Schizosaccharomyces pombe: one gene and its partners. Changing the gene in region 1 together with any one later gene gives a genetic interaction. Each region holds a gene or a part of one and is shown in the gene's direction. Other genes may lie near its edges. The genes, in order: crt10, SPOM_SPAC694.02 and ptl3.

What was found.
Region 2: mutations in crt10 (region 1) and SPOM_SPAC694.02 together harm fitness more than expected from each alone (negative genetic interaction), as found in Schizosaccharomyces pombe (one large-scale study listed by BioGRID).
Region 3: mutations in crt10 (region 1) and ptl3 together harm fitness more than expected from each alone (negative genetic interaction), as found in Schizosaccharomyces pombe (one large-scale study listed by BioGRID).

What each region holds. Positions count from the first base shown.
Region 1 is NC_003423.3:1,327,032-1,336,882, forward strand, and holds crt10 (WD repeat protein Crt10, involved in ribosomal RNA decay), read left to right. Parts: upstream 1-1,684; 5' UTR 1,685-1,762; coding exon 1,763-1,807; intron 1,808-1,859; coding exon 1,860-1,968; intron 1,969-2,014; exon of another isoform or gene 2,015-2,050; coding exon 2,051-2,384; exon of another isoform or gene 2,385-2,426; coding exon 2,427-2,524; exon of another isoform or gene 2,525-2,565; coding exon 2,566-2,686; exon of another isoform or gene 2,687-2,729; intron 2,730-2,733; coding exon 2,734-2,953; intron 2,954-3,007; coding exon 3,008-3,436; intron 3,437-3,483; coding exon 3,484-3,576; 3' UTR 3,577-3,784; downstream 3,785-9,851. Other genes in the region: FAR complex subunit Csc2, read right to left, coding at 1-1,561; gpi13 (pig-O family ethanolamine phosphate transferase), read left to right, coding at 4,035-6,791; SPOM_SPBC27B12.07 (uncharacterized protein), read left to right, coding at 7,081-7,464, 7,576-7,900, 7,968-8,131; Pof6-interacting protein Sip1 AP-1 accessory protein, read left to right, coding at 8,693-8,939, 8,984-9,062, 9,101-9,149, 9,199-9,851.
Region 2 is NC_003424.3:4,195,380-4,208,405, forward strand, and holds SPOM_SPAC694.02 (DDL60-like DEAD/DEAH box helicase ), read left to right. Parts: upstream 1-4,791; 5' UTR 4,792-4,805; coding exon 4,806-9,959; 3' UTR 9,960-10,233; downstream 10,234-13,026. Other genes in the region: SPOM_SPAC683.03 (uncharacterized protein), read left to right, coding at 263-580; SPOM_SPAC683.02C (zf-CCHC type zinc finger protein ), read right to left, coding at 2,280-2,936; SPOM_SPAC694.03 (nicotinamide-nucleotide adenylyltransferase), read left to right, coding at 10,386-10,491, 10,558-11,201; SPOM_SPAC694.04C (uncharacterized protein), read right to left, coding at 11,416-12,335, 12,679-12,733.
Region 3 is NC_003424.3:1,075,768-1,085,630, reverse strand, and holds ptl3 (triacylglycerol lipase), read left to right. Parts: upstream 1-4,005; 5' UTR 4,006-4,069; coding exon 4,070-4,160; exon of another isoform or gene 4,161-4,197; coding exon 4,198-4,972; exon of another isoform or gene 4,973-5,024; coding exon 5,025-5,610; 3' UTR 5,611-5,996; downstream 5,997-9,863. Other genes in the region: protein sle1, read right to left, coding at 1-1,456; protein meu31, read left to right, coding at 2,240-2,437, 2,489-2,848; plb1 (lysophospholipase 1), read left to right, coding at 9,013-9,863. UniProt on the Schizosaccharomyces pombe protein: Lipid particle-localized triacylglycerol (TAG) lipase. The lipid droplet/particle is a lipid storage compartment which serves as a depot of energy and building blocks for membrane lipid biosynthesis.

The sequences.
Region 1 (9,851 bases):
ATTCAATTTTTACATTAGACTTACGATTCCTAGCAGCCTGTTCACTTAATTCTTCAGTAGGCGAGTCTACAACTGCATTGTCTTGAATTCGTTGTAAAACAGCGTCTGAAGAAGAGAAAGCCTCTACGTAAAGGCAATTAACTTTTTTTGAAATATGGTAAAACAGTTGGACTGCTAACTGAATAAAATTATCCATATACGGGAATAAGTCATCATAGGATTGAGAGACAAATTTAAGAACAGGATCTTCTGTTTCAAATGAATGAGCAGGTCCCTTCACTGAATTGTAAAACTCATGCAGATCTGCAACGAGTCGTTGCTGCAAAGTAAAGCGACGTAAAAGCTCTCTTTCAGATAACAATTGTTCAACCGCTAGAGTTCTCTTCGTTTTATTTTGGAAAACATTGGCAGCCTCTGTAACACTGTAAGGTATTGTAAGCTTCTCCAAGTTAGGGGTAAAGCAAAATGGTAAATTTTGGTTAGTTTGAAATTGTTCCCTTCGAGCGGACATTTTGCTGGTTTTTGCAGTATTCACCAAAAGTGATGGATTTTCGGGTGAGCAAAGTCGGGTACTAGATATAAAGGATGATTTATGAAAAGAGTCTGTATTGAGAGTAGGTAGTATGTGTGCTTGTTCACGATCAAGTGGTACAGGGTAATAAGAATCAGCAAAAGAAGAAAACTTAGTAGCCATTTCATGACGAAAAACTTCGTAGTCTAATGCTGTGGTTTTTGGCTTTTGCTGAGACGTAGAGATGTTTAAAACTTCGGCCAACCCAGCCTTTTTTTCCTGTAAATAAGACTGAGATCCCCAAAGACGAATGCAAACTTTAAAAATCAAAAAGGATAATTTTTTTAGAGATGAATGAATAACCTTATCGAGGTTCAACTGATAATCGCTGGTTATGTCAATAAATAGTTTTACTAATGTAGGCAATACCGGGGGATTTAATGATCGGATAGAATGAATCCACGTTTTATCAGTATTGTTGAGAGTCAAAAAAAAGAACATTAGAGATAATAGTAAATTAAGAAAACCTTCGTCTCTACTGTTATCCAGAAAGCTGTGTTTACGGGTACGATTCCATTCGATAAAAAGAGAATAAACAGTCTTAGGAATATCAAACTCTCGCAGCAGATAAACGTTTTCTGAAATACTATGGACGTGTTCTTCAAAACTGCCAACGGAATCGTAAGCACCAGCTGCTATGTACAGGATCGAGTAAAGAGCGCTGTTGCGCAGCAATTCACCCGAAGAGAGTTCGTGATGGCAATGAAGGATAAAATTGCGCTTCTGGTCCAAACTCATGGAAGACCAATTTTGTTTGAGGCTCCAGTGACGGACAGTTTGATAAACTCTTAACTTTGAGTAGAATATTTTATTAGCGGAAAGAAACAATTCTTCTTCGCAATCGAAAAAACTATTCAAATCGTCCTCCAAATCATCTTTAGAAGTTCCTTTGAATTCCATAGGTTTGTGTTTAGACGCTGGGGAATCAATAAGTTTCTTTAGTCTTTGGAATTGACTGAAAGAAATACAACTAGCCGTTGTAGCAGCCATACTTTATTGCCCGTCTAAACTAAATCTCCAAAGCTTTTGAAGGCTTTCGTTGTTGATTTTATGGGAAATGCCGTCGAAGTTGTTATGAATAGGGTTCCTAATGGGTGTAATACAAGAACTCACAACCACATCAAATGAACATTAATGTGCCCTTGACGTTTTTAAGCAAATTGTTTGCTAAAAAAGAATATTTATAAAATAATGCAAAGAGACCTAACAGTTGATGAATTCCTAAACTATCTATATGTACTGCTTTGTTTACAAAATTCGATTGTCTTTTACTGATATATCATTTTAGATTAATGTTAAAGAATTATTCACATTGAAAGAGAAATCCTTTCATTTTTGGAGAAATTCACTGATTTCATGTAGTAAAACGAAGAATTTTCTGTTTGTGGTTGTAGGCGGTATGTTATGCTATGTTATATTACAAGAGTTCTCCCTTTATCATTTCTTTTAAGTAATTATAAAAGCTAATACGTAACATAGATGAAGTTCTTGTTTATGACTTAAAGGAGATCTCATCAGATGCTTCAGAACCTGAACCTTGCTTTTATTTGCATTGTCCTCATGAAGCATCTTCCTCGCGGCAAGGAGATATCAATCAAGACATGCCAAATGTCATCAACAATGTTCGTTGTGAATTAATTGGAGATTTGGAGTATTTTATTACCGCCAATGATTGTGGAAAAGTAGCGATATACGATGTTCAAAAGTTAAATCGAGAGCCTATAATTTATGATGTTCAGCATTCAGCTTGGGGACTAGCAGTTTCACCTCTTAGGATCCTTGGCATATCTTCCAATTCTCACAATGTTAATTTGTACGCTCATTCAATAATACCGATCTTCTAATTGTAATTCAGATTTCATCTGTCGCCTGAATTTAAACGATTTAAAGAGGATTACCATTCTCCTTGGTTTAGACAAGAGACATTAGTACTGGAAGGACATGAACATAATAGTATGCGGTTACGAATACTTTACATTGTCTAATGATTTTAGTACCGTGTATAACATTTAATTCTTCAGGAACATTATTACTGAGTGGATCTATTGATCGATCACTTCAGATATGGGATATAACTTCATTAAGTTGCCTTTGCAAGTTTTATACAAAGTTAAGGTTGTAATAAAAAGCTGAATTTCGAAAACTAATTACTAACTTTCTAGTATTTGGGGAGTTAAGTTCATTGATAAAAATGCGTTCTATCATATTTCCATCCTAAAGCACAAACCGGGATCTCTTATTCCGGCGCAACAATTTGGCCAAAGCCCTTGGAAGCCACCCATCATGTCCAGTTCAGCTTTCTTATTATCGCATGAAGAAGATTTCGATGACGACGCGGTTTTTGAAGGTGAATACTATGTTCATATACAGGATGAACTTCCGGTAAGGCTCCTTGTAAACGAGTTATTTAAAATACATTTTAATTAACATACTTAGAAGACGAAGGTAAAAAATTATTTTCGTACTTATCTGCGGCAGAAACCTGAAGAACTATTCATTTTTACTACGAAATTTTCAATAGTTTTATGTGCTTACATGGGAAATTCACAAATATTTCCTTTGGTGAGCAGTAAAAATTGCTTTGAGGAACCCATTACCCCCAGGTTTCAAGCTTTACATAGAATCAATATGATAGAATGTATTCCCGAATTACAGTCAGTTGTTTGTGCCAGTCAGAGTGGTCAATTAACATTGCTTCGCTTGATTTGTACAACAAAAATTCTCAATGGAAATCCAATTTATGTTTACTCATTTGTTCCCCATAAAATTCGCCTCACTCATTTGGTGGATGCTCCTTTATTGGGAATGAGTGTTTGCCCATTGTATCCTGGAGAAGAAAATCCTTTTAAAAGATTTAAAATAATGGTAAGCATCTATAAGATTATGTTTTTAGCTAACTGGTGATTTCACAGCTTACTGTTTATACCGGAAAAGTTATTTCTGTAGAAGTTCAGCTCTCGGAAAATTTATACGACACTAGTCATATAGGAAACATACCTCTTTGACGATTCACGGAAATTACACTTTCAAGTTTTTACTTTTTTCTTCCGTGTTAATGTTTGTTGATGTTTTTACGTACACATGTATATTACCCTTTGGGATGTTTGTCAGTTTATTTCTATTAAGTTATTACAATTACAACAAAGGAGAAAAGTTAACATTTTTAAAAATAAAACTAGTAAATATATAGCATCAATCGACAGAGTTAGGTTGCCGTAAGAATCATCTCGTAAAAGCAAGTTGATCTTACTAGTTAAATTTGTTGCGAAAGCTTTTATTTAAAAATTAAAAATTCACTCTTGGTAAATTTCCATAACCAATTATCAGTCACTTTAAGCCTATTTCCATCTTCTTTGGTGAATGCATTACAATGTTTACATGTCTTAAACCTCACCACGGAACTTGTTCTTGCGATTTACCTTCTTCAATCGTTTAAGTAATATATCAAAGAGAAGGAGTATTCATGGAGGAAAAAAGGGTAAAATGTAAAAAAAAACTTACCAGTACCATTGGAACTTGGAAATATATTCAAGCTTGCATCTTTTTCGCGATTATACTAATTTCGAATTTTTACGGCTTGAAATCGTTCACCGACGGGTTCCTTTTACGAAGAGCTGTTTTAAACCAAACGTCTTTATGCGAAAACCCGCCTGCCGATGTGCGCGAATGGAAAAATTCATCAGGTTGTTGGGCTCCCAAAATATTTGAACGGGCCGTTATTGTCATCATAGATGCTCTCCGTTATGACTTTTTAATACCTTATAATGATAGCAATTATTACCATAATGCATTCACGACTCCATACGAAACTTCTGTCCTTCATCCAGAAAACTCTTACTTAACACAATTCATAGCAGATGCCCCAACTACTACATCTCAAAGATTGAAAGGTCTCACTACTGGTTCGTTACCAACTTTTATTGATCTTGGTTCTAACTTCGCTGGAACAAATATTGATGAGGATAATCTGCTTCTCCAATGGAAATCATTAGATAAACAAATCGTATTGCTAGGTGATGATACTTGGGACGTATTGTTCCATGATTATTTGAATGAGACACTCTCTCAACCTGCTTTTTCTTTCAATGTACCTGATCTTCATGGAGTAGATAATAAGGTTAATCAATATGTATTCGATTATATAAAAGATGCCAACTTTGATGTCCTAATAGCACACTACTTGGGCGTTGACCACGTTGGTCACCGCTTGGGACCTGATCATCCAACAATGCGAGATAAACTGAATCAAATGGACAGGTGTGTGAAAGAAATGATGGATCTACTGGATGATAGTACATTACTCATTGTCATGGGAGATCATGGTATGGACAACAAAGGAAATCACGGTGGTGATTCATTCGATGAAATTAACTCTGTACTGTGGATGTATAGCAAAAAGCCAACCTTTGGCTATTTGAAACAACCAGGTAAAGTACTAAGTGCAAATCAGGTAGATCTAGTTCCTACCTTAAGTTTGCTCTTAGGAAATCCCATTCCGTATGGCAACCTTGGTACCTTAATTCCAGAACCTTTTTACTACTATGGAGATGAATATTTGTCGAAAGCCCAAAAGATTAATATCGGTCAACTCAATCGCTTCTTTAGCGAGTATGATTTAGATGCTTCTGACTTCCTTTCGTCCTCTGTCCATAAAAATAATAACTCTTATTTAGATCAATACTTTTTAGACTTTGACTATGCAAGAGACGCATTCTCTTACTTTAAAGCAATTTGGGCGGAGTTTAGTCTTTTCCCTATGATCATTGGATTTTTACTTCTTATTATAGGTGGATTTAACTTGGCTTTGTTGATGCAAGATAAGTCGGTGATTTTTAGGATGTCTGCCAATATGGCTCCATCAGTCATGAAATGTTTGCCGGTTTGCTTAATTTTAATTTTGGCAAACAACGAACTTCATTCTCCGTTCCCGGCGGAATTCTATGTATTACTTCCTTCATTTTACATCCTGTTAAATTCCTTTAATCAGAAGTTGATGGAGTACTTTAAAGGTTTTGTCAAGTTGGACTACTTTAGTATTTTTATAACTTTTCTACACGTTTGCAGTTTTGGTTCCAACTCTTTTACAGTATGGGAAGATCGCCTTTGTCACTTCTTGATCATCACTATTGGACTAGTTATGTTTTGCAAATGCTTTTCCGAAATGAGCCCCCTTTTTGCATGCTCTACTTACTCTGCATTGGCATTTATCCTTTTACAGGTAATTTCTTCGTACGTAACTAACTGTCGCGAAGAGCAAGGTGCGTTTTGTGTTAGCACGTACATCTCAACTCCTGATAACAGCCTCAGAACCTTGATTGTTTTGGCGTTAATGGCTCTTTCTTCTATTATATTGCCTCTCATTCTGCAACTTCACTTGCGACGCGTTCTTGGCCTTTCTTTAAAACTTTATCATCTTTCAATCCTCTATTTTTTCGAGTTAATATCTTCAATATTTTGGATTGCTCATCATGTTTTCGCGAATGATGCTTTATTAGAAAAGCAGTATCATCATGTTTTATACTCACTTGCAAATACTTACGTAATTTGCATTCTTGGTGTTTTGATATGGCAATTCTTCTTACTGTCGCGATCCAAGTTTGCTAAAATAAATGTCATCGAAAGATCATATTTCGTTTTTGCATTACTATATTCTTTTCTCTCATTTTTGCAAAGGCCCCTGGGACATCTCTCTTTATTTTCTTGCTTTTTACAAATCCTGCTTCTTATTCAACTTAAACAATGGCAGCCAAGTGTTGGTCACAACTTCTTTTCGGTAACGCTAGGTTTATTGGGATTGTCGCATTTTTTTACAACGGGAAATCAGGCTGCTATATCGTCTCTTGATTGGAATTTTGCATTCATTCATTCAAAATCTGCTGAAAACCAGGCTATAAGCGCTATATTCATGTTTTTGCATACGGTCGGTGCGCCGATACTTACTTGCATTTCGATTCCACTATTTTCATTCGAACCACTTTCCAAGAAAAATAGATTCTTGATAAACTTGTTTCGATTCTCCTTTTCTTTCATTCTTTATAACCTATTGATCTCGACGAGTACTGTCTTCTTTGCTGGATTTTTTCGTCGCCATTTGATGGTTTGGAAAGTGTTTGCACCTCGGTTTATGCTAAGTGGAATATTACTTGTTACTCATCAGCTCTTTGTCCTGATCCAATGCTTCGGAAGTTCTGTTGTCAAATTTCCTGAAGATGCTGAATAACAATAAAGCTTCACTGCCCTCGTTCAATTTGACGTATAATTAGAATTGTAGAAATATTTTCTTTTATATCCTTTAACATTTTAAACCTTATAAGGAAATAATCAAAACCACTTATCAATGCATTTTCATCATTATTATTTTCTATGGGTACACCCATACTACTCCTTTACGCCTTCTGATATGTACATTTAACATTCACCACAATCATCGTACCCAATTTTTAACAAAAATTAATTATGTCTGTTAATAAGTTGCTTAATTTATAATCAAAATTTGGTAGCTTGACAAAATGTTCTCTTTGCTACGAAAAGCTATAGATGTTAATCGATCCCGAATTACCTTGCATGGGATTAAAGTGCATAGTATCAATACTTTTCGTTTAATTCCTTATTCTTTATCCTTAACGAAGCAAATTCGATTTTATGCATCAGAAGGGACAGATGCAGGTGAAATGGAAAAGGGTCTTTCAGTAGTAAATGCCAATCACGAAAATCGTCCTTTCAGAGACCTTGAAGGATATCACTTCAACACATTTACATTTTTGAAAACTTTAATGGATAAAGGATATACAGAAAAAGAGGCCGAGGGTCTTCTCGAAGTCACGAATATGTTTGTTACTGATATGCTGCGACATAGTCATCTCAATTACCTGTCTGAAGCTGATTTTGAAAATGTACGTATGATTTATTAAGCTACAGAATCCTTCCGTCTTTAAATTTATCTTTAATTATAGATTGACGGTTTTTTTTGCTTTCAAATGAACTGTCATAGCTAACTTGTATAGTGCTCCTATTTGTTTCGTACAGCTTTGTCGGAGCTTCGCTCAGAGAAAATAAATATGAGAAAAGATCAAATCAGTTCGTTACGTTCAGGCTTGTTTTCAAACCAAAGGGAAGTAGAAAGTTTGGAACAATTGGTTCACGAGCAGTTAAACAAGCTTAATACCGAAAGCAAAATGGAGTTTGAAAATCGGAAAAATGATACAAAGAATGAAGTCCAGCAATTGAGTGCAAGAATTGTTGAACTACACAATTTATTAGCCGTTTCGTTAGGTAAATTGAGGGCTGAAAATGAGAGGCAGAAATGGGACCAAATAAGAAAAGCAGCAGGTAAGTATATTTATAGTTCAAACTAGGTATTTGAAATTTCATTTATTAATTTCCTTTTCTTTTTCAGGTGTGGTGATGGCTTTTACAGGGTTTTTAGTGCTGGTTATTCCATTTGGACTTGGAGTACGAAGCAGAAAAAAAGAAAAACAAGATGAGCTTGATAATTTAGGTTCATTTAATTTAGATAACAAGCGCGATGATTATACTGATACTAATCTCTCCCATATGTGAGTTATGGCCAGCAAAGCATTTCGAGCTCTTCATTAATATCTGTCCTTTCTTTTTTTTTGTGTTTTCTTCTTTGTTTATGAAAATGTTCAATTAGGTTTTATGGAAATATGCAAATATTAAGTTTTATTAGTACTCCTTCTGATCATGAGACCCCTTGTTCTTATTGTACATGGAAATACCATTATGAATAGCATAATAATTGTTTGCATTGCAGATGCTCATACTAGCGTTGAGCTGTGATTTTTGCCTTCTCAGACAAAATTTTTGTCCATTTCAAAACTAAATCTATAAATGACTTTTCGTTGTTTTATTTAATTTTAAAATTAACGATACTCGGAATGGCTATTGCATTCTAGTAGTCTCCTACAATTTAAAACATCTTTGTGTTCGTGGTTGATAAGTAAAGTGGTTAATTATAATGATAATAATAAATATATTATCTATAGACTATTTGATTATTAATTTATTGTAAATCGTGTAAATGTCGACTGCAGATTTCAGTACCTCGCAACTCAATGTATATAGATTTAGCCTAGGGAAATTGGTTTGGCCGCTCCACATATGTCGTTAGCATCATTGCCGCTCGAAAAGTTGACGAAAGTAGCTGATGTAGATAAGAGGGAGACCATATATATTGATTTACTCAATTACGAAAAACAATTGAGGAATCTGAACAAAAATACTCGCGAGGATTCATTACAAACTAATTTAAATCCCCTACTTTCGTTAATCAAAAAATATGGAAATTTTATTGCTTATCCAACTAGAAAACTTCTTTCTAACTGTATAATTGCACTCTTAAAAGGACGTATGTGAGATTTATGGAAAATGGTATATGTTAACAAGTATTAGTCGAGGGTTATCATCAGCATCGAGTTTTACTTTACTTCGTGGATAGCATTCATGAGAAAAAAGACTATATAGAGATTATGTATGTCTAGAATATTTGAAATATCAACTAACCGGTAGTAACGTTTTATCCGTTCTGACTTCTTGCTTGGAAGAATATGGAAATCAGGTATTACTCTTTTGGATATTTTCTATAAACTTATAATTAACCTTAATAGATCAATCAGCAAGAGACTTTTATAAGATTTTTCTTCAAATATTCGAAAACCAATTTGTCATATGGAGTTCGCTCAATCGCATTAGATGGACTGTCGAAATGCATTGAAACATCTATTCAGTCTACGAATGAAGATTTGATAAAAGAAATATGGAAATGTATTAAATCAAATTTAAACACTTCATCAACGAATGTTCTTTTATCTGCACTTCGTTGCGCTTACTACATTCTGGGCTCTTCACGTCTTCGTAATTCAGAATTGGAATGGTTCAAATCTTTTCTATTTAAAAAATCATCAATTGATAATTCTTTGCTCCATTCTTCTTTAGGAAGATGCTTTTCTGCACTTGCAAGTGCTCAAGCTGACAAATCGATTGAAGCCGCTGCAAACGCAGTACCCTCAACTCCAGCGGATGATGAGAACAATGAGGAAGTAGAAAATCGGTCTACTACTCGCCGTTTTGATGAAACTGAGAGTTTTCGTCACGCCCTACGGATTCTTGTCGAAAATTATCACTCCAAGCATGCAAAGTATGAAAGCTCAAAAGCGGTTCTTGTTTTTGCCGTTAAGCATCTTTTTCTAATGCAACGTCCATCCTTTGTTTCTCTCAACTACACTACTATAGTGGATATTATTCTATTACACCAATCACA
Region 2 (13,026 bases), on another chromosome or scaffold:
TTAGCTAAAATTTTTTTAGGGGAACTAATATAGACTCAATGGAAGGAGCAAATCGACAGAAACAATATAGTCTGTAATGTAAAGAAGTCTACGAAAAAACCAGCAAGACCTTGATGTTCTTTACTTTCTGGATTCGATGTGGTGGAATACGTCAAACGATCGGAATTTGTATTTTGGGACCCCTTTGACCCATTTACCCATTCCCATATGATCGACGAATGATCTGCGTTGAAGTAACAGGATTACTATATCAGATATCTCGATGGAAAAATGCATTAACCGTTATAAGGATATATTGCCGTTAAACCGCTATAGCGACGGTAGTGGCAAATGCTGGGGATTACTGGGCTGTGAAATATCGAGTGTAGTAGGACAGACTGGAGTAAAGAGATTATTATTGGGATCAATTACTAAGTTTGTATACTGTTCTATGAGGTTATTTTCATTGTATACTATTGTACAATATTTTAAGTCATTGCGTTGTCTACGAAATGGGCGGACAGAAGTGCGCCTGTATACACATTACAAGAGACATCTTCCCCGTTCAGTGAATTCCATCTATTTACAAACAAATTGTTGAACGATTATTCACAATTTAGAAATGGCCGATCGGCCCAACAGCGATTCCGAGCCCGGTGTTTTCAAGTGCCATGCTTCATTTTTCTGCATGGGAGTATATCGCTGTGTAAGAATCCATCACAATAGCAAATGGACATGCGATCCAACGACGATGGGGCGGCAGTGTATTGATCACACATCGCCAGAAAAACTCATCTCTCGCTAACGTAAGCAGATAAAACAATGTCCTCAATTCACTAATGACTATTCTTTAGCGAGAGTTGCGCTAGATTGCCTAACACTTGGCGTACAATAGGCGGATTACCAATGGATATCCCATCGTATGGCCAACATTGGGCTCACAATTCAATTTAAAGGATCGTAAGGAATTGCAACATAGTACAGGAATAAGCAACGTACTTGAAGCTATCGTACAGTATCACCCGTATAACAAATGCTACTGAACGATCGATCAGCGAGGCAAGAAAGTGGATTGAAAACTTGACTTGAAATCGATGAAAAGGCTTATTCAAAATAAAAAAATTTTTTTTACGATTTACATATGAGTCAAACGCATATCAAGTACTTACTTCCGTCTTTTCGTTAACATTGCATACTTCTTGGGTTAGCTCCTATATTAACGCATTGTTTACCAATCTCAGTACCAGTTTGTTAATCCATGTTAAATCCTTTCATTATAATTAATACCTATTTTCCAGCTCAAGGTCCATTCTTTATTTTATTTTATTTTATTTATTTTATTTTTATTTTACTATTATTATTATTATTTTTAATTTTACGAAATTCATATAAAAACTTTATGCACTCTTGTAAATTCACAATTCCGATTAATTCACATTTAAGTTCGATTAATTCGCAATTCATGTATAGTTAGGCATATTGCAGGCATATACCATATACACAAAGAACCAAAAAGTCGCTGTAAAAGTCCACTGCTGGATAATCCTTCTTGCAACTGTCAGTCACATAACGGTGTGTCACTTTGGGTGGATAAGGATTACAGTATAGAGAGGGGGCGATCATTAGTCAGTAAATGTATTTTTACATCCATGAATGGACCCTTGAAACGGGATTTGCATTGTCTTCTGTCAAGTGATACCGCATATCACGTGCAATGAAATCCATGATCTATATTTCGGCATTTGTTTTCTCAGCTGGCAATCGCAGCCTGCCAGTATTACGAGTTGAGTAGGGGTTTCCATGATTCCCTACGTAGAGAGAGAGTATCGCACATATACATTAAGGTAATAATTTGTATGAAATGAGTCGAGTTGTCGAAACCAAATTACAAATAGAAATTTAATGGTCAGATATCTAATATCTAATTGATTACATGTATTGTTTGTTAATTCATTTTAATATAAGCAATTAAAAAATTAACGCTTTGAATTTTTGCTAAGAATATATTGTTTTTGGTATTCGGATTTGTAGGATTACATTAAAAGTGTCAGCTAGCTATATTGTCCCAACACAACAAGACAGCAAAAATATTTTGCTTTTTACTCTTCTCTTTTCTATTATTTCTTTAATTTTTTCAATTTATTATAAAATATTAATTATTTTTCATACACATCAACTTCAAAATTCGCATATGTAATCGAAAACGTACCAAAAGCTGATTATCTGTTACAGTTACTATACCATGGCTTGCCTTCTGGTCTAGTCCAATTCCTTTCCCCGTTTACCTTTCCAAAACCCTTTTAAAACGTAACCAACTTTTTCACAGGTTTCACTGGTCTTTTCTTAGTAGGCGCTGCAACCGTTTTGGCGTATTCATGATATACGTCTTCATCAGCTCCAGTGGTACCAGCGACACCAACAACATGGCCAAAGGAAACATCATCCTTGTTCACTTGATCACAATCCTTTGCTAAATGATGTACAGAGGAACAAAATTTACAACAACCACCTTTGGGGTACAACCCTTTGGGGTTCTGTTCACATTGTCCCGACAAGTGACCATTTTCATGGCAAATGAAGCATTTAGCAAACTTCAATGGTCCTTTTTTAGAGCAGGCATTTAGAGAATGCTCTTTGCTACCACAACGAAAACATATTGAAACATTATCCTTAGCCTCTGGGCAGTCTTGTACAATGTGTCCCTGTTGCCGGCAGGCAAAGCAAAATTTGTCTCTATTTCTTTGGTTGATTCTTCGAAGTCTTCGATACTCAGAGCGCTTCTTTTTCTGACGCTCATCATATCTTTTCGACGAACCAAAAGATGCTTTCATATTATCTTGAGAAGATGATTCTTCATTTGTATTGGAGGAATTCTTGGGTTGTTCCAAAACTTTTGACTCGTATGGCGTAGCTTCGAGGAATCGTTTCCTTTTACCCATGTTTGTTATTCGTGCCATTTTTTTTAATTCTTATGCCAATGAACGATTACACCAAAGAAATGCCAGAAAAGAGTATTTTCTATAATTAAAATTGTTTAAAAAATGAATCCAACAAGGAAATAGACTTTTAGAATTATACAATCCACAGACAATTCTAATTGAAAAGTTTTCCTAAATCTCTAGCCTTTCTGTACCTGAAGACGAACACTTTCACCAAATATAAATTATACTGGTACGCATGTACTAAAATGAAATATTCACTTCTTTAAAAAGTCGAACAGTCCTCTCTATTTGGTTTATGGTAGAAGGTTTGTTGTGTCTTTCAGTTATAAAAAAATTTCCTAAATTTCTACACTTAAGCCATTAGGTTTAAGGTGTGATTGTTAAGCGAGCAAGCGAAATTTTTATAATTACGATGTTAAGTGATGCATTTTCATGTGTATAATAAAATACATTGTTGCTACATGTTTCTGCTTTTGACTAATATGTCAATGGCGGACAAGACATGCAGGGACAAGCAGCATGGAGTTCTTTGGACTTGTGTTTGAGCCTTTTAGAAACCTTTGATCATTCAGATAATACGGGTGTACCAATGACCACCATTTCCTTCTTTTTTTAGTGAAATAATTGAAATCAAATTATCGTCGCGATCACGTCCTTTATGCTGTGCATCCGAAAATGAAAACCCCAAGCCTATTAAATTGCTACTACACTACTAGTATGCATTAGCAAACAAGTTGTTAACTGTTGATACATTTTGGTTTGTGTACATTTCAATCAAGCAACTTATTTCGCCGATGACTTAGGATTTTTATTGAATTTTTGGATCTATGTAGCGACAGTATATATGATGCCAATTACAGCGCACCATATATTCCAACAAATTGCGTTTGGGTGAAGAGTCAAATAGAAGACAAACACACTATAGGACTAGGAAATCTGTTTTGGCTAAAGTTGGCAAATATGTGATAGTCTTTTGAGTCATTTGGACCAAATGCAAACTATCGTAAGTAGATCATCATCTACTTATTCGTTTCATTCTAGAATCTTTGATTTAGAAGCGATATCTAATATTGGTTTATAGTTGGTTGCCGCATTGCACAAATTGAGCTAAAGGATGCACCCGTTCCAATTGAAATTTATAACATCCGGAATTATCCTTTGCATTTCTCCAATTTTGAAGGATTCACATGTTGCATCTTCTGAAAAGAAAGGAGAAAAGAGATATCAACCGTAGAGAAACAGATGCGGATGATTTGATATTGTAAACTAAATAAAAATGCTTTCACGCATAGTGTATACTTTAAACTCACCTAGACAGTAACGTGGATTAGGATAGTCCAATTACAATTTCTGTTATATCTTCACATGCATATGTTTTAACGCCTACTGTTAAAAGTAGGATTCTGTCTTAAAAAATCAAAAACCCGATTGAAGAGATATTTCTTTACTTCGATTTGTACAGTCACTTTCAATGGATAAAATTTTGACTAAAAGAGAAATCTTTTTATTAATCAATCAGTTATGACTCCGTAGGTGACATATTAATGTGAAATGAAAAATTTCCATGCTACGTAGACCTCCACAGCAAGCAGGAAGTTTGATTGTAGTAGCTCATAACGACTCTTTATTAATTATATACTTTGAATGTTTTTTATCTAAATAACCTTTAACAATGAGAACACGCATCAAGATGATTTACCGTTCATTTATACTTGAAAATCGTTTATTTAACAATTAGAGTAATTTTACATCGTAAAGAAATTATCTGTTGCGTAAAAGTTGTGTTAACAGTACGGTGTTATAAATTTAAAGGACCTCATAATACCAATTCCTTAGTAGAAAGCAGGTCTCTGTGCAGTAAACTTCTTCCATCACCGCCAAATTATGAGCGAGGAGATAGCCAAATTAACGACGGTTCAGAACTATCGTCTAGTAGACTTAATCGGTGATTTTGCTGGAGAGGAACTTTTTCTTATCGATGGAGATTCCTTGATTTTCCATATTTTGGCAAAAGATTCTCAATTTTTAGCCAAGAATGGTGTTCAAATTTTATATGCTATTTACCTTTTGGAGAAGGAATTAGCGCGATTTAAGAGTGCTAGACTAAATTTTTGTATAGTATTCTTTAAAAATTGGGAAGCTTTATACTCCCAATACGATGGGATTTTGCATGCGTCGTTACTCCTCTTTCGTAGAGTGGCTATCCGCCATCTTCGCAAGCATGTCCCTGTATATGTTTTCAAATCTTTAGGAGATTCTCAATGGAGCATATTTATTGCAAAGCATCGTCCATATGGATTTATGGTTCTTGATAGCAACCAAAATACAAAGGAAGGGGGTTTAGTTATATCAGATGAGCAAGTGATGGTATTTAAATCATTCATTTTCTTTGCTCTTTCTGATGGTGTACCTGTCGCTCTTTTGGGCTCTTACCAATTTGTAGACAATAAAATCTTAGTCTGTATATTGCCTTCATTCTTTACACGATCCAGTGAATCTGTTGAAAACGCTTCTAATCTCATCTCTGATTATTTAAAGAAGTTTGGCAAGCCTCGTCAGTCTATTGAACTACCCGATATTGCTGTCGATGCTTGTCCTTCAAACGCGTCACGCATCCAAACCCTTTCTGCAGCGTGGTTGCTGTTGAATGAAAAATCAGATCTTAATGTCGATCTCTGCAAAATTCTCATCATCTTAACCTGCATGCTTGAAGAATTAAGCTTGAACGATCGCTTCCAACCTGCCTTCCCTCTTTATGAGGATCCTGCAATTCAGAAATTTATTATTAGCTATCTGAATGCTACAAATACAATCCTTCAGCTGTTGGATTCCAAAGTAGATGGATTCCATGATATTTTCGACGGTCGCCTCTTTATCCGACTTGTTGTTGATGCTGCGTTGGGCGAATTTTGTATTCCTGATATTTGTCGAGAATCCGCTCTTTCTTTATGGAAGCTTATTTTAGATATTGCTCCCGATGCAGGTGACTTGTTTGATTTTCCTAGCCTTTCTTCAATTTCCAAGGATCTGTGTGTACCCATTGAAACTCCTGTAAGCGAAATTGATATATCTTTGACTGCCTACAATGATCCCGTTATCTCCCCTTATTATGATACAGAGGAGTGGAATCTTGAACAAAGGGAGGAACCTGGCATTGAAACTGTTTTGGACTTCTCAAAACTTCGAATCAATGACAAAACCATGACATCCAAGCGCTTCGATGATTTGAGTGCCACTCGCAAAACCGGTGATAATACTAAAGACCGCAAACAGGCGAATAAAGTACGTAGACAAGATCAGTTCTTTATTAGTCATATTCAAAAATATGCAAGCTCTTTGACTGGTGCTAAAGGTGGTCAACTGAAACGTCAAACCATTTTTACGCAAGGCCCCAACTCTACAAAGGAGTCAAAGCAGGCAGTCAAAGAAGAAACTAGTGTCAAAAATTCACCTAAAGGGAAAAACACGAAAAACGGTAAGGCTGAGAAGGAAAAGCCTGGAAAAAAGAGTAAAGCTCCTAAATTATCCAAAGCCGAGCAAATTCGCGCTGAAATTGCAGCACGAAAAGTTGAGAAAGAAGAGAATAAAAACGAGGTTATTTGGAATGAAACTAAAAATGATTTGGGTCGTATTAAAGATTTAAACCTTCGTGCTGGCCGTCTTGCTCAGCTTTTGAATACAAGAACGTATGACCCGTATATCGAGAACGAAATGCGTCTATATCGCATTCGTGTATTACTTTCTTTATGGACCGCGTGCTGTGTAACCGATGAAGGAAAAGAGAAGAACATTAAGATTGCTGTCGAAATTTTCCGCGAAATAAGTATCGTTTATCCAAATCCTATTACGAAGCAAGTGAAAGCAGCTCTGGACGAAACACTTACTGCGTTAGGATTTGAAAACGTAATTAGAAAAATGAAAAAATTAGAGTCGAAGCCTCTTTCGTTTCCATTTGTGTTACCTGATTTGGAGGATGAAGAATTTGACCTTGAGGTTCCCTATACTTCTCCTACGTTCCAACTTCTCCATTTTGGTGAATACATGGAGAGGTCGATGGGTAGTGCTCCTGATAGCCGTGTTGCATTCGATCCGGATGAATGGCAACGTGAAACTCTTGACATACTGGATCGCGATGAGTCTGTATTTGTTGTAGCTCCAACATCTTCTGGTAAAACCTTTATTTCGTTTTATGCGATGGAAAAAGTTTTACGTGACAATGATGATGGAGTCGTTATTTATGTTGCACCTACTAAAGCATTAGTCAATCAACTTTCTGCGGAAGTTTATGCTCGTTTCAACAAGCATTATCCTCATGCTGGTCAAACTGTTTGGTCTGTTTATACTCGTGACTACCGTATTAATAACCCCACAAATTGTCAAGTTCTTATTACTGTTCCCCACGTGCTTCAAAGCATGTTGTTGCAACCAGCTTTGGCCAATGCATGGTGCCCTAAGATTAGGCGCATCATTTTTGATGAAATTCACTGTATTGGTCAAATGGAAGATGGACTAGTTGAAGAACAGCTATTGTTATTAGCTCCTTGTCCCATTGTTGCCCTATCAGCTACGGTCGGTAACCCACAGGAATTTCAAGTATGGCTTTCTGCTTTGCAAAGGGCTCACTCTTATCCAATTCATTTGATTGTTCATGAGCATCGTTATTCTGATCTTCGTAAGTTTGTATATGGAGGTGCCAAGGAATTTAATGGTTTGCAAGAAGAAGGCGACCTCGGACAAATTGCATTTATTCATCCTGCTGCCGCCATGTCTTTCTCTGATGGATCTACAACGAATCTTGCATTCGAACCACGCGATTGCTTACAGCTGTACTATGCAATGAAGTTAGTTTCCAAGGGTGATTTCAAAATTAGTAGAAAGCTTGATCCTGACAGGTACTTTGAGGACATCCCCTTTATTAAGAAGGTTGATGCCGTCGGTTACGAGAAGAAGATTAAGGCTACAATTGACACTTGGGCGTCTTTGCCTAATGCCTTTGCCCCTAACTCACCATTCCAAGCTCTTATTAAGCACTTTTGTAGTGAGCCACAAAAGGTTGTTAATAGTCAATTAGAACTGCATAACTCTGCCTATTCTTTAGATGCCATATCCCAAAACCTTTTGCCAATGTTAAAGGATCTTCATAGTAAGGAGCTACTTCCTGCTATCTGTTTTAACTATGATCGTCAGGAATGTGAATACCTTGCTGAAATCGTTTTTAAGACATTGGTTGAGAAGGAGAGAGAGTGGCGTGAAAATTCCGAGGAGTGGAAAGAGAAAATGCGTGAATATAAAAAATGGCAATCCACTGCTAACCAAAGAGCCAAACAGATGGAAAAATTTGAGAAGAGTGCTACTGAGAAACAAAAAGAACAAGCGTTAAAAGAAGCCGGTGATATCAGTTGGATTGAGTTTTTCGACCCTGAGGAGCCTTCTCCCGAGTTTTCTTTTGCTGGTGCGAAGTCAACCTATGGTAAAGAAGAACTTTATCGAGATTTAGAAGCCTTGCGTAGACGTCAAGCTGTTCCTGAATGGTATGTTGATGCTTTATACCGTGGTATTGGTATTCATCATTCTGGTCTTAACAGACGTTACCGTCAAATCGTCGAAGTTTTGTTTAGATGTGGTCAGCTTACAGTTGTAATTGCTACTCGTACACTCTCTCTTGGTATCAACATGCCATGCCGAACTGTGGTATTTTTGGGAGATAGTTTACAGCTTAACGCCTTGAATTTCCATCAAGCCGCTGGTCGTGCTGGTCGTCGTGGTTTTGATCTTCTAGGTCATGTCGGTTTCTTGGGCGTACCTTTGCACAAAATCTATCGTCTTTTGACTACAAAGCTATGGGATATCCAGGGTCAATTTCCTCTTACTACTTCTTTGGTTTTGCAGCTATCTCAGCTTATTTCTGGGTCTCAAGCAGGCCCTTTTGCCCGTGATACCATTCATGCGCTCATGGACGAGCCAAAATTTATGGCTAATGGATCCATTTTGAGCAATCAAGTTAACCATCATCTTCGCTTTGTCATTGAGTACCTTCGTCGTGAAGGACTGTTAGATGTTTATGGTAACCCTATAAATCTTGCTTCACTAACCATGCATTTATATTACACTGAACCAAGCAATTATGCATTCATGAATCTTTTGAAAGCTGGTGTATTCCATAAAATTGCTGAGAAGTTTGCTACTGAGAAATTCGAAGCCATGCGTGACACCGTCGTAATCTTGTGTCATCTTTTTGGTCGTATTCGCATGAACGAGCAATACGTTATGACATTGGAAGGAAGCACGGATCTTGCACAGTCTACAGTTGTTTTACCTCCTCTTCCAACGGAAATTGCCGATGTTTTAGATGCCCATGATCAGCGAGTACTTGACCTTTACAAGACTTACGCTTGGTACTATCAAAAGCATGGTAATATTGGTGTGGCAGCAAATAAGCTTCCATTATCGAATACCACCATTGAGGGTTCAGCCAAATTACCCTCTTCATTATCCGTAGGCGTAATGTCCGAATTTTGTGGGTTAGCAGGATATAACGAGAGCATGGTCGGTACTACCTCAAGCTTCTTGGACAAAGTTCCAGATGGCATTTTCTTGAAGACTTCTAGACTTCCAATATTTGAAGCCAACAAGGCCCCTTATAATGCTTATTTACTCGATTTCTTTACTCATGGAAGTGTCGATATGCTGATTGAACAAAATAATTTGAAGCAGTCTGAAATTTGGTTTGTACTTAATGATTTCAGTTTGGTCCTTGCTACCATCTGCAGTTGCCTTGGCAATCTATTAAATCTCGTAACTGATGAAGATATTGAAAATGCTATGAGTGCACTTGAAGGCTCCAACGCTGTTCAAGCCACCACTGAAAGCGAGGCCACCGGAGCTGACTGGATGCAAAACATGAATGGTAATTATTCAACTACCTTGGCCTCTCCTGAATTGGAGGAGAAAATGGACATGAATCTTTTCAAGGTATACTGCATGTTTTTGGAAGTACGTAATCAATTTGACGCTAAATTCAGAAAGATGTGGGCATAAATTTTGCGCTGTTGCTTTTACTTTTTAGTTGATGTTGTATGGCTTTATTCTGTTTTTTCTTTGAAAATTAGAGAATTGATTGAGCGTCATAGAATGTTTTTTTGGAGTTATAGCACGTCTTCTTGAGATCTTGGATGTTCAATAAAAAACATATTTAAGAAAAAAAAATAAATGGTATTTTTTTAGTGTGATGAATGTTAAAAAAGGTTTTATTTAATTTTTATTTTAAGTGTCAAATAAATTTGTTGTGAATTTAATTTCCTTATGTATTTAGAAATATATTAAACATAATAAGTGTTATTATTGGATTAAAAGGTCAATCAAGCAATCCTGGTACTGTAGCATATACATACGATCAGTAACATTGGCGAGCCAACTTTTCGGGTATAAACCCAGAAACTTCTGCTTATTACTATAGGTAGAAATATGGATCAAGCTAAAAAATATGCCAATTTGTTAGACAGTTTTCGATCATCAACGGAAGATATTTTACTGCTCGAAAGACTTGAAGTTAGTGATAAACCGATATATGGTAAGTTAGGATGAATTGAGTGCGGATCCCGATATTCAAAGCTAACAAAGTTGTTATCTTATTTAGTGCTTGACAGCTCTTTCAATCCTCCCCATTTTGCCCATCTGGGCATGTGCTTATCAATTCCTAAAGGTAGTCAACTTTTGTTATTGTTAAGTATTACAAATGCTGACAAGCCTGTTGCACCTGCGGCTTTCAATGAGCGAATTTTGATGATGGAAAAATTAAAAACACTAATCCATAATTGCACTGTTTCCGTCGCTATTTGCAAGCACGCATTATTCGTCGACAAGTGTCGTAGTATATCAAATAAATTGGGGCCTCGAGAACAAGTATACTTAGTAGGTTTTGACACCTTAATAAGGATATTAGATTGCAAGTACTATAAAGAAAAGGCAATGCAACAAGTATTACAACCTTTTTTTTCCTGTTCTCAAATTCTTTGCTTTTCAAGAGAAGTAGATGGTACTACCACGGATGACCAAGCGCAATATCTTGAGAAAATCAAGAAATCTCTTTTGCCAAACATTCCAAGTCAATGGTCGGAAAAAATTAAACTTACTAAATTAAAAGGGAATGTCGGTTTTGGTGTCAGCAGTACGAGAGCACGACAAGCGATCATCTCTGGAGACGAAGAAACCCAACGTAAAATCATACCTCAAGAGATTTTAAATGTCATCAAGGTAATCCAACCGTACCGCCATCGCTAACTGGAGAGACTAAAGTTGATATGCTCCTTATATATTATGAATGCTACAAAACCCATTCAAAAGTTTCCAATTGACTAGGCGAATAAGATATTGACAACGCACATGGCCCCATTGCATTATGTATATTGATTTGTACAGACTAATGATAAAATATATACTAGATTTAAAACAATCAGCTGCTATCAAACATAACATATACTGATGTTCATGCTTTTTAATTTTGTGGAAAATCTAAAGCTTTCCTAGCCATTTCCAGAGCACCCTCAAAAGTTTGATTACCACCAATGAAACCGGAAGCATGAACAAAGATGCAACCTGGAATGCCAGTTAACTCAGAAAGCTTTTCATCACGAATTCCTCTCCATGGTTCTGGTAGTGGTAAGCGACAAGTAAAAGAAGTGGGATCAATAGAAACAGCCTGAACTCTCCAAGCTTTCCCATCAGAGTAGATAGCGTATTTAAATTGGTTCTCAATGCCAAGTTCTTTTTCAATATCAAATAAATGACCCTTCCAGGGAAAAAACTGATCTACGATCAAAATAGGAGAATCTTTAGCCTTCAAAATTGCTTCTCGAGCGAGAGTTTTAGCTGGTAACCATGATAAAGCATAATGTTCTACAGATCGAACAAACCATGTACCCATTAAATCCGAGGCCTTTTGAAAACATTCAAGGTAAGTTTGGTCATCTTGCTTTTCCGAATTCCATGCAGGAAGGAAACTTGAAACCATCTCAGGTAGACTCATAGCGGCTTTGAAGCTAGGCTTTAGGCCAGCCGGATAAGCAGAAATTCCATTGTCATTAGCATCAAGACCTTCAACGAATGATTGATAAACTTTTTCATAAAGTGTTTCAAGATCCTGCTCGTTTATTTTCAACTGTGGAAGGACAGCGTGAATAACTTCACGACCAAAATGTTTGTAGATCAAACCGGCACTAGAAAGACGAGTGCTGTATTTGGGTGAAAAAGTATCATTGAATTCACGTTGATGATGGTCAAAATATTTAATACCATCGTACTTTCCTCCAACATCTACAATAATGTCGCATGAGTCTAAAACTTGAGGATCACGGCTGCGCACAATTTGGGCACCGGAGAATCTATCTAAACGGCGAAGCATGTAAACAGCCAAGGCTAAATATTTTAATAATTAGTATAATAGAGCAAGATTTGAAAGAAAGCTATTGTAGGGAGCAACAAGGACAAAGTCATAGGTACAAAATCCAGGACAGATTGATTGTGCATTATGCAAACAAAAATCAAAAAAATTGCATAGTAAAATGAGTAATTGAATGATTAATCTCCTGAATAATAAACAAGAGCTATCAATATAAAACCGCACAAGCCCCTAACTTTTAATCCGCTTAAGGTCCCAATTAATCAGACTTATCCAACCTCTTTTGATTCTGTATTTTTTTTCCCCCCAGCAACTAAATCCAAGCATCTTGCAACAGCTAATTTAGAAATAAGTACTCACCCTCATCTGCATGAAAAGTACCACTATGAGTAGCAATTTTAACTAAATTATTCATTTCTTTAAAACCTTTTTAAACAGCAAGCAAAGTCTATTGTTCAGGAAGCGTGTTCTGTTTGTAGTTCAAATCCATGAAATTCAATAGGCCAAAGCATAACGAAGGCTACGCTACTTCACTAAGCTAGTCGAAGAAATCTTCAACTAGCCATCTATCAAAGTACCCGACGCATCAGATATTTCTAACTGAGACTAATTTAGCAATTCCTGAAGCAAAACTACTGCACTACTTTTTCAGAGAATACTACATCTACAACTGCTAATAAATTACCTCTACCAAATGTTAACACTAAG
Region 3 (9,863 bases), on another chromosome or scaffold:
GTTCTGCAGAAGCATAGGCATTGTTAGCAGTGGTGCTAGAAGCGGTAGGTGTAATGTCCATTTGACGTAACATTTCCTCGACACGTCTTTTGGCAGCGTCTTCTAATGAAGGTTGTGCTGGTTGAGCGGGTTTAACATTCTGTACAGGTTGTACTGGCGAACTTGGCTGATAATACTGCGTTGATTGAACTGGCTGCATAGGTGGAGCTGGTACGCCATTCTGAACGGGCTGCACCGGTGAGCTGGGTTGGTAGTATTGAGTTGATTGTACTGGCTGTATAGGTTGAACCGGTTGAAAATGTTGGGTAGATTGCCCTGATTGATAGGACTGTACAGGTTGCGACTGCTGATTGTACTGTCCAGGTTGGGCAGGTTGGTTGTTATTCTGCCCAGACCTGCTAACTACTCGTGAACCAATGTTACTAGTATTAGGCGGAATAACAGATATTCTTTTAGACGAAGGAGTGTAATGGATAGTCGACGTCGACCTCAAAGACGCCTGATTTGACCCCGAGGGATCAAAATCTTCAAAGACGTCTTCGTAAACAGATTCAGAGGAAGACGATCCTTCCTTGTTCTCATAAATAATGACGTGTTTTTTGCTAACTGGGGGAACTTGAGATGAAGGACTATTTTGTCTGTAGCTAGATGTATAAGCAGGTGACATTTTTCTGCTTGGTTTTTTGAGTACCGACTTTTGAGTGGTATTATTTCTAACAGTAGAAGAACGTTGAACATTGTTATACGATTCTTCAGCAACTGGAGATGTGGGAAGGCTAACGGAAGGACTATATTCTTCGATTGGGGGAGGGATTGCAGTAGGATAATAAGGAGTATTATAATTAGCAGGTGACCCACGAGAATTAGCAGGTACCATATAACTGCTGGATCTTCTTTGAGCAGCAGGGCTTTTTACTGCAGGAGAATAGTTGTTATCTGGCATGTACATTTGAGAAGTACGAGGAAGCAATCGAGGATCCTGATAAGATTGAAAATTAACTTCCTCTGAATTATAAGAAGCGTAAGATGGTGAGCGCGAGGTACTCGGCCTAACTTGTTGAGATGGTGGAAAGTCATAGGACTTTGGAGGCCTCATCTGCCTTTCTGACTTTGTCATATAATTTGCTGAGGAAGAAGTAAGCGTATAGCGCTTTCCAGTATTTACAGGAATTTGGGGAGGGCCTGCTGGTGTAGGCAAATACACAGAACTACGATTTCGCAGACTAGGAGGAGCCATCGGTTGATTGGCACTTCCTAACGTAGACATCCGAGAGCGCATGTAATCATATTGAGGTGAGCCATTGACTGCCTCTCCATAAGAAGTTCTATTTCCCAAAAACGAGTTTACGGCTCTATCATTTTCATTACTATTGTAAATTTTTTTCGTTCCGTGAAGTGCGGTGGACGCAGCAGCAGCAGTTAACTGCGCGTTATAATTCTTTGAAGCATGGCTCATTATCTATCAAATAAACTTCTTCATAAACACCTTTTTGTAAGTATTAATGAGGCCTTAACAGATGAAGGTGTTGGTGAGGTTGTAAGGGGAAGAAGAAATGATGAAACTATTTTCTGAAGAGTACCAGTTCTCGCTTAACAGCTTTAAGGTTGTTTGATGAAGTGAGCTATATGACGTTACCGTGAGATAATGAAAATAGCCAAAAAAAAAAACAAAAGAAATCACTGCGCTCATTTGTTTTGATTAAATCGAATACGCATGTAAACAAATGCATTTATTTATTTTTTTATTTTTTTTCGAAAAAAAAGTTATAAAGGGATATTTAAGTTGCTATGTATGTCTGGAATTATAGTTTACAAAGACATAATAAACATATATCCAAATGTTTAGGAAAAGTAGATAAATAATAAATTTCTGCAAATGTGAACTTTTAAACAATATGACCAAGCTTTGTGGAAAGGCTGGTTTAAATCATGTATACTATCAATTTAAAAATAAAGTAATAATCAGCAAAGTCTCATATTTCTAGGCTTTTTAATTTTCGCATAAGCGGCCACTCATGTTTTCATGATTTTGTCCATTTTCTGCAGTGGATGTCGATGAGCGTTATTTTTAATTAATGTCAGCTAATGAAAACATTTGTTTATGTTTCGTGCCTTTGTTTAGATGGAAATTTGTTTACATTTTAATTACTTATATATTGAGAGCAAGCTAAACTAAACTGAGCATTAACATATTACAATAACCCAAAAAAAAACCAGTTTAAATAATTAAGAAAAAAAAATGTCGTGCATAAGTGAAATCGGCAAATTCGTAAAGTCAATTGAATATATTAAATTGCCATGTTTATTTATCTTTGCTGCCATTGTCGGCATGAACCTCTCATTACTCTATTGCCTGCTTAAAGGATGGAAAAATGTAATGATATGGGGAATCGAAACCATGCTCTTTGGAGCCATTGGCATTTTCTTTGCTTGGAAGGTAAGAATCATCAAATGATTGAATGCAAGTTTAAAATTAACTAATGTAAAGAAAAAATTATCTTGGGAGCATCTCGTACTCCTCTGGTCCACGATTGATGCCTTCTTCAGTATGTGCTTAAGGTCCTGCACTATAATCTATTTCTCAATGAACCCATATATGTTATGCGAAATCCTGAATGCACGAAACGTTATCTCTTGCAGCCTCAACACGCAAAAGTTTTTCTTTATAATTGTCGCCGCATCCAACGTTTACAGTATCTTTCAACTGTGTGGATGCTTATTAATGTTCAACAACATAATTAGCATCCGTCCCTCTGAAAGGACAGAGCCCGAATTCAACTTTGATTTGGAAAAAGGAGTCGCCTTCGCCAGTGATTCTGAATTTCCTGAAAAATCAATTTGTATATAAACAATTCAACTCATTATCATTAAAGGGTTATCATTTTCAAACCTCAAGGCTTCTTCTCGTCTCGTTTCAAGGAGCTGTTGGTTTTTTCCCAAAAAAACATGAAATTCAAATTAAGATCCTCCTGCATTGAAGTTTCAATGTATCTATCTCTGCCAAAGCATTTTTATTACTTTCTATGTGATTTTCGCAAATATTTTAACATTATGGTAGAGCTCGCCAATAGGTTATGAGCTTTTTGAAAACAATTCGTATCAATAAAAAAAATAGTTTGCAGCATGCTTAGCTACGCAGACTATCTTTTTTCTTGGAGTGAGTACTTCATTAATAAGATATTAGTTTTCATGAAAGAACTTTTTTTGGTTAAATAAGTACGAGAACATAGGGGATATTGTACAGCTTAGCAATGTAATAACGCTATTGGATTAACATTCCTTCCTCGTGCATTCCGAAACCCTTCAACGATTGTTTATGAAATTTTCAACAACGGAGCCTTCAAAACTAGGATACGAAAGACTGATCCTTGCACATAGTTGTTGGTATTAAATTCTTTTGTTTTCAGAAATCAACAAGTTTATTCTAAACTCATCAAATTTTTTTTTAACAAAGAACAACCAACAGTGGAGTAAGAGAAAGCTTTACCCATTTGCCAGCGAAACAATTCAAACTAAAGGATGAACCCAGAAAACTGGTGTTTACTTCTTACTTCTCTTTTGAATTAAAATTGAAAATATATTATATATAATGTCGTTAAAATGACATACCGAACATGATTTAAAAATAAAACGGGTAGGTTGGCCGCCTTCATGCGAGTAAACAGTACAATGTTGGGATTTTTTTACAAGCAAATAAAATCAAGTAGGAAGACCACGATCGCAATGGCCGTTCTCTACATAAAATAATTACACAAATATAATACTTTGAGTATAATTGTATCATAAATTCCAAGAACGTAGAAGGTCTGTCGTAATATGGAAGTTGAAATTGACGTGAAACGGATAGATTGATTCATTTTCATTGTATAATGATATTAATGAAAGATTATTTTTTAACAGTATATCTAAAGGAAATTGTTTTATTCTAATTCCTACATTTTATATGGAAAGACACATGTATCGAACTATATTTTACCTTACCATATGATCATCTTCCCTTTCCCTACAACTAGTTAAGTTTCACATTTAGAGGACGTCGTTGGATAATTTTTGTCAATAATCGATGTAAATGTCTAAAAATGAAATTAAACTACAGATGGAATATGCTTCAAGCTATGAAACATGGCTTGAAGCTGCGGAAAAATTAGATGTCATAGAAGGTAAGATTTTACTTGGTTTTATTACTAATGGAACCAGGAAAATATCAATGGAGAGAGCAAAAGGAGTCAGATGAGTACGACTATGTTTTAGTCGAGAGTCGGCTGCATGAACTGCGAAGACATCGATTGTCTAAAAATACGAGACTTTTGCTTGGACTTTTACGAAATTCAGTTGCAAGAGACTTTGCAAATATGGATAATAGTAGATTATATAATTATGCACATTCAGGGACAAAAAAATTGATAGATGAGTTCATTCAAGAGGTTTTGATGTGCTTGACGTATTTAGAGGAAACGCCTGATCTTTCGTTGGATGAAAAGATTACTGAATTTTCTCGTTTAAAACTTACGACTGGCAATACAGCATTGATCTTAAGTGGTGGTGGAACGTTTGGTATGACACATATTGGTGTTTTACAGTCTTTGCATGAACAAGGTTTGGTACCTAAAATTATCTGTGGTTCATCTGCTGGTGCAATTGTTGCGTGCGCGGCAGCAGTCCGAAATAAAGAAGAGCAGGAGATTTTGCTTAGACAATTTCATACAGGTGATCTCAGTGTCTTTACTGATCCCAATGCAGCACCACCATCAGTTATACAGTCTGTCAAACAGTATTTCACTAGAGGCTGTGTCTTGGATATCAGCCATTTGGAAAGGGTAATGAAGCTGCTTATTGGAGATTTCACTTTCCAAGAGGCATATGATCGTTCAGGATATATTTTAAATGTTACTGTGTCTTGTGGAAGCCTGTTTGAGATGCCCAGTTTACTTAACTACATTACTGCTCCAAATGTTTTAGTGTGGAGTGCGGTGTAAGTTTATTTATCAGTGCCTTAAGTTCGCCATTCTAATAAGCCCTTTTAGTGTCGCAACGTGCTCTGTTCCCTTTTTATTCAAACGAGCTACTTTGTGGGAAAGAGACCCTTTAACAAGAGAAGTATCGGCATTTTGTGTAACAGATGCTCCGTTATGGATGGACGGATCTGTTGATAATGACATTCCGCATGCTAAACTAACGGAGCTGTTCCATGTTAATCATTTTATCGTATCACAAGTCAACTTTCACATCGTTCCGTTTATTATGGATCCAACATCTCATAATTGGGTTGAGCGCTGTTGTAAGAAGGCAATTGATTTGGCTGCTCAGGAAGTTAGCTTGACATTTCGTTTGTTTGCAGAACTAGGCATTTTTTCGGTATTATTCACGAAGCTTCAATCTGTAATCACCCAGAAATATTCTGGAGATATTACAATTATCCCCAGATTGAATTACCGTGAAGTGAATAAAGTCATTAAAAATCCAACTCCTTCATTTCTTTTAGATGCAGCAACGAGGGGCAAACGTGGAACATGGACAAAAGTTCCAGTTACTCGGAACCATTGTGCAATAGAGATTTTAATCGCAGCTGCATATACTCGGTTAATAAAAAGGTCTAAAAGTTTAAAATAATTTTTAAATACCCCGAGTTTTCAGTTTTGTTTTGTTTTTTGTATTTATTGGTTATCTATTGTACATAGTACATAAAAAATTGAAAAGTTTCATGTTCCCAAACTGGTTCTTTAGTGTTATTCTTTTTATTACAATACAACTTGTTTTGCTTTTTTTTTGGTTTGATGATTGCTAACAGTATTTTGAATTTTCCCGGTTTTACAAGATATACTTATTGACTTGATAGTGATATTTTGAATCTTTGGTAAATAGACATGCTATTTGCAAACCGTCTGTTAAATGATAGTATGTGTCGGTGATATTGGAATAATATAAATTAAAAAGTTGAATAGACCAAATTTATTGTCTATATAAAAAAAATAATAATTAATAATTTATAAGTGTTTTCATATATATTTTATTTTATTTTATTGTATTGTTTTTTTTTTTTTTTTTTTAACTTCAATAAAGTTTTTTTCATTCTTACCGTGCTTAATAATTCATAAATATTATTTAATGGCAATTGCATTTTGTAAAACGAATAAACATAATGGCTCATGCTTTTTTTCTTCTTTTCTTTCTTTCTTTTTTATTTTTTTGTTTTTTTTGAAGAAAAGATATAAAGGAGAGACCAATTATTGAAATAACATTTATTTACTTTTTTACTTACCTGCAGTAGCGTTTATAGTATTCGGCGAAAATAGATCGGTTTGTATGAATTCTTAATAGTTTTTGGCTATTCATACCGATTGCAACAAGCTAGAAACCTTGCAATCCATAATCTTAGTAAATTAAAAAGTAAAAGAAAGTTAACTTATTTTTCTTTGAGCATATTCGCTGTGCAGGGTTGGCTGTTACGATGGTGGTCAATCGCACCTGCATATAAGATGAAGTATTGTGTGGTTTTCAATGATTACTGTTTGTCAAACGAGATGCTAATTATAAAAGTAGAAACAATTTATACGTGAACTTAATAAAAAGGAAATGTTTATTATATATTTTTCGTAATGATAGAGTCTCACTAGTAAAAAGAATCAATAAATTTCCCTCGAAAACATCGCACAGTATGCTCTTACAAAGAAATGTGAAAAGAGATAATTTGAAAATGAATTAGTAGTTGTCTTTGAAAATATTTAATATATACAGACTTTAATTACTTATAACATTGCTTAATTAAAAGTGTGCTTTGTGTTTACTAGTGCTCCTAACCAGCTCGCTTTTCCTAAGCTTGTAAATAAAACAAAGTACACTGAATGTCCATTACTCAAGGCAATTGCCAAAAAAAAAGGGCATTAGCAAAAGCGAAAATAAACTTGCCCCACAATTTTGTTCAGGTATAGTCCTAGAACACTGTTCCACACCGGTTTCCTCGCATACACGTCTTCGTTGACTTTCGCTCGCATGCTGCAAATCCTTTTTTGACAAATAGCGTGCAGCATAGCTAGTCCAACGTACGCACGTTAGTTTACGAGCCTAAATGTACTCCACGTCATGGAGGGAAAGGTAACTTGGAAGGTTAGCCCCACACTTTCCTTAACCCCATTATCTCCATTTTTCAATGATGTCAACGTAAAAGGTGGAAGCTCGCTTGTTCCGAATGACGGCGAATAGAAACGTAGAATTTTTCAAACCGTAATTTGATTGGCGGAAGGTTTGGTTTTCATGAATGTTCTCCACACTATGGGAAAACGAGGGGAGCAAAGTGAACAAAATACTGAGAGGTGATTGGATATGTCCCACTTTTTCATGTGATGCTCCTCATTTAACTAATAATTGGTGCGAAAATTTTCTTGCTCTTGCGGTAGACATTTTTGCACTGCGCATGTGTTCCTCCATTGTTCTAGACTGCGTTCCTCTACACCACCCCGCATTTGTTCGTCCGACTTTAGGCTCTTTTCCTTCTTCCCCGCCAAACTTTTGAGCGGATACTTGCCTGATTTCTTACCGGAATGGTGAGGGGCGAACACCTTTAGAATAGTGTTTCAAACACTTTTTTTTGGGTTTTGGCGGGGTTAAACTGACGAACAACGAAGAAAAAACAAGAATTCTAACAATTTACAACAGAATCCGTAAAAAAATTAGAAGCTTGTCTGACCAGCGGTAGTATAGAAGGGTTTAAACGGTGAGTAGAGTGTTTGTATTTTTCCCCAGTGTACCTTTTGCCAGTAGACAAACATCCCATCCTTTCTTGTGGGCAGCGTTATTTTGATGATAACTCTATCCCACTATTACTCCAGTTGCTTGGATACATCGTCGCAGCTCTGGACCAATGTTGCAGTTGCTTCCTAATTTTTAGAGGGTCAGTTGCCGGTACTCACGGGGCCCCAGACATGGATTCTGTCAAGATTGTGGGGTAGATGCAAGTTGAAGTCAAAAAAATGAGAATCAAAAACTTGAAAATAAAATACATAAAATGATTTATTTTATTTTTCTTTGTATAATCCATGTAAAATTATAGACTGTATGCACTGAAACCTTGTTCCGAGCGACTGGTCCCAGGTATATAAGTGGTGCTGGTGCACAGGCATTTTCACCACCATCGCAATCAAACAACTTTCCTTGATCTGTTCATTGTTTCAAAACAAAAAATTCCGTTTTTTGGAATCCCTAATCATCTTCCTTACTTTTATTTAAATCTTAATCCATCCAAGCGAGGAATTTTGCATTTTCCTTTCTTGTGATTGCTCCCTTTTTCTTAGCTCTTTGAAAAATACCCCAAAAAAGAAAACACTAACACTCTTTCGGTTAGAGAGCGTTTTCGCATTAGTTGAATCCAAAAACATATTTTACGATCCAACACTGTGATTTGGCTTAATTTCTTTTTTCAGTGATTCCCTCATTCCTTCATCATAATTTCTCGTATCATCATCACACTTTTCTTTCCTAGTGTATCCTTTGGTGCGATTTCCGGTTTTCTCGTCGTTATTCCTTTTTAATTTTCTCTTTCTTATTACTCACTCAAACAAAAAAAGGTCGTCGTGGACTTTTTAAATCGTTGTACTTTTAGCACTTTCCTACATCTTCCTTTTGAATATTTATTATTTATCCTTTAGGGAAAAGATTTTATTCATTTTGAACCTTTGCATTAAACTTCGTTTGCCAGGTTCTTTCATTTTGTTTTTAGTCCCGTTTTCCTGCCTTCTTTAGTTCTATCTATTGTGGGGTTTGTGTTTTCGTCCACTATTTGCAAATTCTAGGTTTTTGTTACTTTACCACTTTTTCCTCTCCGACTTACGGAATAGTATCAGTCCGAGATCTTGATTGGGTGTCATTCGGAAAGTAATACACTCGTGTGACGTTTATTAAATTTTTTTTCTTATATACCCTTTCCGTCCCACTCCCAACTTTGAACGTTCATTTGGGGATTTAATTTGCATACATCTTTGCATATCTATTCTCAACATTTTAGTTTAAATATTCAAAATGCTTTTCCGCGGATTAAGCCTGTGGATGCTCTTTTTGGCATCCTGCCTTTCTGCCCTTGCTCTTCCCGCTGCTGAAGACGATGGTTCTGTCAAGGTCTTCAAGCGTGCCAAGAAGCATAGCACTAAGCAAGAGGGACCCAGTTACGCTCCTTATTATGTGGACTGTCCCTCTGATAACATTGTCGAGAGTCTCTCCAGCAATGAGATTCCTAGCGCCGAGTCTGAATACTTGAGCACTCGTTCTACTATTACCAACACTGCCATGAAGGACTTCCTTCGTAACGCCAACTTGCCTGGTTTGAATGCCGATACTCTTTCTGGCTCTGAAGGTCCTTCTATCGGTATTGCCTTGTCCGGTGGTGGTTTACGTGCCATGATTTTGGGTTCTGGTGCCCTCTCTGCCATGGATGCTCGTCACGACAACCACACTGTTTTGACTGGTCTCCTTCAAGCCTCTGACTATCTCGTTGGTACTGATGGTAGTGCCTGGACTGTTGGTGGCATTGCTCTCAACAATTTCAGTACCATTAACGACTTTAGCAAACTTTGGGCTTTCAACCACCCTTTGATGTATCCCAAGAGTGCTATTGTTTTCAACGCTCATTTCTACAGTTCTATTATGAATGAAGTTGCCGAAAAGGCCAATGCTGGCTTTAACATCAGTCTTTCCGATTACTGGGGACGTGTGATTTCTCGTACCCTTGGTGACACTACTTATGGTTTCCCTAATGTCTCTTTGTCTAGTATTACTTCCCAAGAATGGTACCGCAATGCCAACTTCCCTTACCCCATCATTACCTTTGCTACCCAAAACTATGGTGAGGATATTAGCAATGTTAACACTACTTT